Zea mays: one gene and its partner. The protein of the gene in region 1 binds, or shares a complex with, the protein of each later gene. Links are inferred from orthologs where the notes say so. Each region holds a gene or a part of one and is shown on either strand. Other genes may lie near its edges.

The links.
Region 2: the proteins of uncharacterized LOC100280033 (region 1) and uncharacterized protein LOC100280192 are in contact, whole or in part, in a cryo-EM structure (PDB 8K20), measured with the Arabidopsis thaliana proteins. The link is inferred for Zea mays from reciprocal best matches to the Arabidopsis thaliana genes AT5G26110 and AT4G34412. Residues at the interface, in NP_001331017.1 of Arabidopsis thaliana: Thr27, Phe28, Ala29, Arg31, Asn58, Ala61, Arg62, Thr65, Arg68, Lys69, Leu70, Gly71, Val72, Cys73, Val76, Leu77, Tyr78, Ala79, Val80, Asp81, Thr82, Leu83, Leu84, Gln151; in NP_680763.2 of Arabidopsis thaliana: Asp7, Phe51, Leu54, Ala55, Gln58, Ile62, Arg66, Lys147, Thr149, Gln151, Glu152, Ile155, Ser156, Asp160, Val163, Cys164, Ala167, Ala168, Asp170, Ala171, Leu172.

The regions. Positions count from the first base shown.
Region 1 is NC_050100.1:34,851,080-34,854,829, reverse strand, and holds the start of uncharacterized LOC100280033, read right to left. Parts: upstream 2,524-3,750; 5' UTR 2,298-2,523; intron 1-2,297.
Region 2 is NC_050098.1:19,279,808-19,283,557, forward strand, and holds the start of uncharacterized protein LOC100280192, read right to left. Parts: upstream 2,699-3,750; 5' UTR 2,603-2,698; coding exon 2,532-2,602; intron 2,392-2,531; coding exon 2,325-2,391; intron 2,225-2,324; coding exon 2,102-2,224; intron 2,014-2,101; coding exon 1,930-2,013; intron 170-1,929; coding exon 83-169; intron 1-82. Other genes in the region: Probable zinc metalloprotease EGY2, chloroplastic, read left to right, coding at 2,879-3,042, 3,134-3,203, 3,489-3,584.

The DNA.
Region 1 (3,750 bases):
CAACAATCAGACCAGAACTTCACAGATTCACCACTGCCTACCACTGAGGTAATAGCCACATCAACGAGGGCCTTTGCATTACGGTGCACTCGGATAGGGAGACCAGCCCATGGCCTTGACGCGTCAGTCTTTTGTAACCAAAGCCACCTGGCACGTAGGGCCCATCCAAACATCTCCAGGTTGAGAATACCCAGACCACCATACTTGAGAGGCCGCTGGACAGCTTCCCAAGACACGAGACAGTTACCTCCATTTGCATCACCTTGCCCCTTCCAAAGAAAGCCTCGTCTCCTCTTATCGATTGCCTTAAAAACCCATTTAGGTAGTTCTAAAGCAAGCATAAGATAGATAGGGACAGAAGACAACACTGTCTTAACCATGACAAGACGACCAGCCCGGCTGAGAAGATTAGCTTTCCATCCTGGAAGTTTATCAGCAACTTTATCAACAAACGGCAGGAGATCAGAGTTAGCAAGCCTACGGATTGATAGAGGAATCCCCAAGTAAGTGCAGGGAAAATTTTTTGTAGCACATGGTAACAAGGCAGAAATGGTGGTCAGCTCATTCGCTCCACATTGAATGGGTGTAACAGAACTTTTGGAGATGTTCGTTTTTAACCCAGTAGCATGACCAAAGATGTCTAAAATGCTGATAATTGCTGAGATATCCTGATGAGAGGGCCGCATGAACAAAACAACATCGTCAGCATAGAAGGAGATACAATGTTTGGCATGTTGATTTGCAATCGGCTGCAGCATATGTTCCCTGAAAGCATAACTGACCATAGCATTCAAAGCCTCCATGACAAGGATAAACAGCATGGGGGACAAAGGATCGCCTTGCCGAAGACCCCTATGATGCAGAATGTATTCCCTAGGCTCGCCATTGACAAGGATCCGTGTAGAGGAAGTGCAAAGCAACAGACTAATAAGGTTGCACCAGCTTCGACCAAAACCCAAGTGTTGTAACATGTCAAGCAGGAATGGCTCTCTTTCCATCTATAATAGCTTCGTGTTTACAGGCCAAGCAGTGCATTTTGCTTCCAGGTTCAAACTGCAGAAGCAAAGCACCGGGACTAGTAAGTCCTTTCTTTAATATTGATGAATAATCTCATAAGGTATAACATCATCTCTTTCTTTAATATTGAATAATCATTATACAGTTTGTCAATTCCAATTAATAGTGGAACTTCTTTGTATATACGGTTATTGCATATCTCTACTATCTATTAAGTCAATAGTGTAGACCACATGCACAACCATGCCCCCACTCATGTCCTCCTTGTGCCCCCCCCCCCCTAGCTCCCTCGGAAACCCGCTGCCCCCTAGCCCACGATTGATCCCCTCCCTCCACGCCACCACCTCGCGTGGCCCAGTACCTCGCCCCCGTCCTTGATACCGCCACCCCGTGACCCATCTGAGATCGGCTCTTCCATCGGTCTCGGCCTCGACGCCACCCCTAAACTATGATGCCCTTCCACAGCCAGCCGCAATGCCCATCCACGAGGTCGCCGCAGCCGCCCCTCACCGCTCGCAGTCAACCCCCACCCATATGCGGCAGAGCCTGGCGTCACGGAGGCCAGCGAGGGCCCTAGGGCAGGGCCAGCCATCCGCTCTCCGCAAGCATGACCTTTCGGCCAGATCTGCACGGTTGGGCCGACGACCGGTTCTTCCCCCTCGTTCCTCCGCCCAGCGGGTGGTGGGTGCCTCAAAAATTCTAGCTGGTCGCGAGGATCTATTTGGTGAGTTGGGAGCCATAGCTTCGATTTGGGGGTTTTCCTTTGGTCTCAGAGTGCAATTCTGTATAAAAGGAGAGGAAGTTTAGGGCATGTTAAAGGGAAAAACTAAGGAAATCATGTTTATTGATAGGTCACCTGAAAAAAGGACATGAACCTAGAATCTGTTATAATTTTTTGATGTGTCTGGATAGAATTGGGAAGCTTCACGGACCGCTGAGTTAGAGTGGGAACCTATGTTGCCCTGATACGGGGATACAGATACGGATACGCGATACGCCGATACCCCGATACGCCATTTCTCAAAAAATACGGATACGGCGATACGCAATATATATTATAAATAAAATTAAATGTTGAAATGTCTGAAATGGATCAATGCCATAGTAATCTTAATAAGTTAATCATGGATTTACTAGTACCAAGAACATTTAATGCTGCTAGCATCGGTAGATGCACACGTTGCCATGGGATATTGGGATCTAACAAGAACAGAGAATGGGACAACCGGACAAGTACAGCGTCAGGCAGGGCAGATGGGAGATGTCGGCAGATCACAAACCTCAGTACCTCACGACGGCAGACGGGCTGGCTGACGGCGCGACCTCAGAGCTGGCGGCGGCGGACGCGGCCACGGATCGGCGACGGCTGGCGGCGCGCAGGGAAGCGCGGCTGAGCGGGTCTCCAAGCGGTGACGGGCTGGCGGCGCGCAGGTTTCCAAGGATCTCCAATCGGTGACGGGCTGACGGCTGGCGGCGCGCAGGAGCCAGGAGAAGCCGGACTGGCGGCGCGCAGGAGATGGTGCGCGTGCGCCGTGGGGAGAAGCAGTGCGCAGGGGAAATCAGGGTATCACGCACGTGTCCAATTGTATCCGTCTTTTTTTATTTATTTAAATTCATAGCCTCGGATACGTATCCGGAAGTATCGGAGGAGTATCCGTATCTGATACGGCATCCGACATCATACGTAAATTTTGAGAAGTATTCGTGCATCATAGGTGGAAACTATATCGAAAACTTCTGATATTTTTCGATTGATAGTCTCTCCACTGTGTTGGAAAGCCTTTTGAAGCATTTGGTTACTGGCATTATAGGAGATCATATACATGAACATCCCAACCTGCTCTTCGACGTTAACTCCTCATGTGTCACGTAACAAACCCTCTCTTCTAAGGAAATCTGATGTGGCTCTAAATATTTCTGGCTTCATTCGAAACTCGACTTGCACCAACTCTCATGCCCTTCGAGAATCTCCTTAACCTTCTAGGCACCAGAGAGAGGAGGTATGGATAGACCTTTTCTTTTTAGAGAGGAATGGAAGTACAGCAGGGAGAAGAATAAAGAAAAACTCTGCATTGTCTTCTTCTTCCTCCAACAAAAACTGTATAGCTAGCTCTTCCCAATAACCCATATCTAGAGAAATCGAGAAACTACATAAGCAACACATAATCATAGCAAAAGGCATGACAAGCATTTCTGTTCGAGACAATACCGAATGTTCTCGCAAAGATTTTGAACAAGGCTATGCAGGTAAACATCATACACTTGTAAAATTTAACCAGCTGAATCAATATGCCACAGCAAAATGGTTTATACCTATATAAATTAGAACAAACTAAAGTTACAATTATCATTTGAAAGAAATATAAAATTATCAAAATCAAAAGTACTAGCATCAGCACAAACAATGAGACAATAGATAAGGAAACATTGAACAACCATGGCAAGTACTAACGAGACAAACAATTGATCACTAATTAATCACCCTCATCCCTCTTCGGCAACTATTTGATAGATCTATATGCCCAGAGACATCTATTCCGCAATTCTATATGCTCAGAGACACCAACAGCAACAAAGATACCCCATGCCACTTTCCCCACTGGTTTACAGTTAACTAACTAGCTATTACCAACACTGAATCCATAGTTGCAAGAGAAAGTATAGAGCACAGAGCAGATCGTACAGAGCACAGAGCAGATCGTACAGAGCATGAGTTCAGCAAACCTTGTACTG
Region 2 (3,750 bases), on another chromosome or scaffold:
GAAGACCAGTACGATCTTCAGTCAGAATGGATGGTTATAGGAACTATACGGTACATGGCTAACATCAAGTTCGATGGCAAACCTTCAAGATCTGTGGCTGGTTTGCTCTTCTTTCCAGTTCTGTGAGATCAATCTCGGTGCCACTGATGAGCTTCTCCACTGCCTTCATCTGCCACGTTACGATTTTCACATTAGAATTTCCTTCATAGCTGCCACGTTACGATATAACTAAATATCTTGTACAAATAATGTCCCTAGGATTTCTCACCCTAGGAAAATGCAAGGATCCCTAGGGGATTTTGGTTTCCAAACTAGGCCTTAGGACTGATTTGGTGACCAGTGAATTGCCGAATTGAAGACGATCCATGGGGAAGGAATCCCCTTCCTATTCAAAATTGAATAAGAAAGTAATTCCTCCCCCGTGGATCCCCCAAATTTCCTGGCCACCAAACCAGCCCTTAGGAGGAGAAATCAGCCTGTTCGAATAAAGGTTGATCAAACACCCATGTGAGACTCTGTCTTGTTTTCTCTTATCTGGTATGCTGGGCAGGTTTTTACACAAGAATGGCTTCATGGAGAAAACGTGCTGGAGGGAGTCAGAATTCTGCTAAGAGTGGCCTTCCAGACCAAGATGGTTCAAGTGCGCAACCTCAGCTGCTACAGATAACTGGTGCTGAGGCAGGAGTTGAACAAGAGACGACTGGAGAAACCAATGGCACCAGTGAGTAGTTGAAGCTTCTTTAGTTCTTCTGGGTTTCAAGTCTGCCGCCGGGTGTCTGCTGAACTTGTTAGGCAGTCTTGATGCATGTTCAAAACTGTGTCTAATAGGACTAGCTCTAGTTTCCTGACGCAGGTTTAGCTAGACCTCAATGGCTACCCGCCGTTCTAACCTAGTTCTGTTTTTTAGCCTGCTTCTGCAATGCCTGAACTGTTTCCGTTTATGAAATGAAAAATGGGGAACATGGTTCAAGGAAAAAAAAGGAGTGCATGTGTTATGAAGACCTCGGTTATGAATTGTAAGCAAAAAAGATTTTTAAACTGTTCCCTTTTTGTTTAGGACCTGTTTGAAGCACCCAGTTTTTAAGAAACTGGTTTATGAAAACTGAGGTGGTTCCAAACATACCAGTTTATAGAAACTAGATTCCCAGTTTCTTAAAAACCAAGAAGCTAGCCTCCTCTAGCTAAAACCAGTTTATGAAAACTGAGGTGGTTCCAAACACCATTAACTAGTTTTTTTTTATAAACCAGTTTCTAGAAACTGGATTCTTAAAAACTAGGTTGCTTCCAAACAGGGCCTTAGTTATTTACATTTTCAAGAATAGAGGGAGAACCATGGTTTTAAAGGCGACAAGGAGTGACTAGGCCCCAAGGGCCAAGGCAAGTTGTCGCCTGGATGCCTCAGCGGCATCTTTGAAACAGAGGGGAGAAATCATTTGAACTATTATCGATCTAAAAAGTGTAAGTGTTTGCAACTATGGTAACAGATGGCAATGAATAAAACAAAGCTTCAGAAACATAGAAGCTCAAAGTTAGTTGAAAATTTTCAACTCAATACCATAAGCACTCAACTGAAGGCTCAGTAAATAGAGTGTAAAGTAGTAGCACCGGGTTTCTGGAGCAAGAAATTACGAATGGTAGAAACACTTCCTGTTTTATTTTTCGTAGTAAGGAATTAAGTAGAAGCACATGAGGGGTAATTTGTAACTCATTTTTAAGCAGGGTGATTAACATATTGCAAATCCATTTAAATCTGATTTGGTGTAGACTGTAGAGCATGATCTCTGGATCCATTAACACTTCAACTATCGTCCAATATCAGCCAGCTCAAGGTCACAAATTTATGAACCAAACACACGGTCAATTATCAGAATAGCATGCAATTGATGGATCCAAACAGTAACTCAGTGAAACTATCATCATAAATCATACCTCCTCGTCGGAAGCATCAAAACAAGCAGCAAGGATGTAAGTTGTATTATCAGAGATCCCACAGCGCTTCAGGGACTCTGTTATCTGAAACCAATTATCACAGACAAACTGTCAAACACTGTACTGGACCAACTCGTAATGCAAAAGCACCAACGGCAGCTAGATCAATCACATGTTTGGACCCCGAGTAGTTGTAGACGAGCTCAGAGTGCAGAGTCCTTGTGGTCAGTGACTCCCTAGTCTTGGACAACAGCGCCTTAAGCGCTGCCGCGAGGATAGGGAACACATCCGGCACCTGAAATCCACGAGCATGGACAACGAGCCACAAACACTATGATGCACACACTCAGGAAACTACCAGCGCAGCATATGCAAACATGCAAATGGCAACGAACCAGTGACGCGTTGAGGAGAGCGACCGCCGGCTCCAGCTTCCCTGACTGCATCAAGTCCAGGAGCTCCCTGAACATCAAAACCAGGAATCTCAGCGAGTCCATCCCCTGCGCATTTCATCGATGGAAAGCAGACGAGGTCCAATTGGCGGCCACAGCGGCCCATGCGGCGATGTTAGAAGAGGAAAGGATGCATAAGCAGGTCCGTACCGGCTGTTGGAGACGTCGGAGAAGAGGGCTAGGGAGATGGTGCTTCCCCTGGACAGCGGGAAGGTCTTCATGACGCTCGCGGCGATGCGGCGGCGAGTCGGCAACGGGGGGAGCAACCCTATTCCTCTCGCCGTGTGCGGCAGCGGCTCACGACCAATTTCAAAAATGCCCCTGCCAAAGGAGAAAACTACATAAGTGGTCCAGGCTTTACGATTGATGCAGCGTGAAATCGTCACCGCAGAAAAGAATTTCTGTTTCCCTTCAATGAGATGGAGAATCCGAGAATGGGATAAGACCGCGCCGCGCGCGCTCTCCTCTCCGCCACTCTCACCGTCGCCTGCCCCGCCATGACTTCCTTGCTGTTGCCGCCGCCGCAGGCGGCTGCCGCAGCGTACGGATGCTGCCACTGTCTCCTGCTCGCTTCTACCACCGTGCCGGCGAGGAGTGGGTGCGTGGGACGCGCCAGCAGAATCACGCTCGCGCTCCGCTGCCTCCCGATTACCGGGCACAGGTCCGCTGCTTTTCTTGGTTTTGCGTGTGCCAAGGGAACATTCATCTGAGCAAGCTAATCTAATTAGTTTGTTTTCACTCCTTTTATGAAGGCTGAGGAGTCGAAAGGTTGCGTGCCAAGCGACGACTGAGACCGAGCCCGAGGGCAATGGCGACGAGGAGGTACATACTAGCTTTCCCCTCCTTCAGCTTCTTGAAATCGGCAGCCTCGTATGAGCAATGTATCGCATTACATTTTGAAGTGCCAAGTATCACATTTCCGCGCAACCAAATCATTTGCATGGTTGATAAGTCAAGGCTCGGATTTGCTCATTTGCAACTCACACATGACCCATTGAGTTTTTCTCTAAGAGTATAGAAACGCACCTCTTAATAAAATCTAGAATCAAACACGAAGCCAGAATCTTGCAGTAATTCGGGGATTAAATGATTGATCTTTCTTTCCAGGATAAGAAAGAGTTTGGAGATGATGCTTCATCACCTTCAGTTTATAATGTTGCAGAAGCAAATGGGCCGGGAGAAAATGACTCGAGTTTAGACAATGTACACTTCTTGCTTACAGCTTGTCAAATCGAGCCTGCATTATATTAATATATTATATATTATGGAAAATATGCTTCCTTTTGTGCTGGTCTTGATTTGCCCTGTGCTTAAAGCAGCGTACTTCCATTCTGCCCGTTAGTCCTTGCTGTATGAATTTGTAACTGAA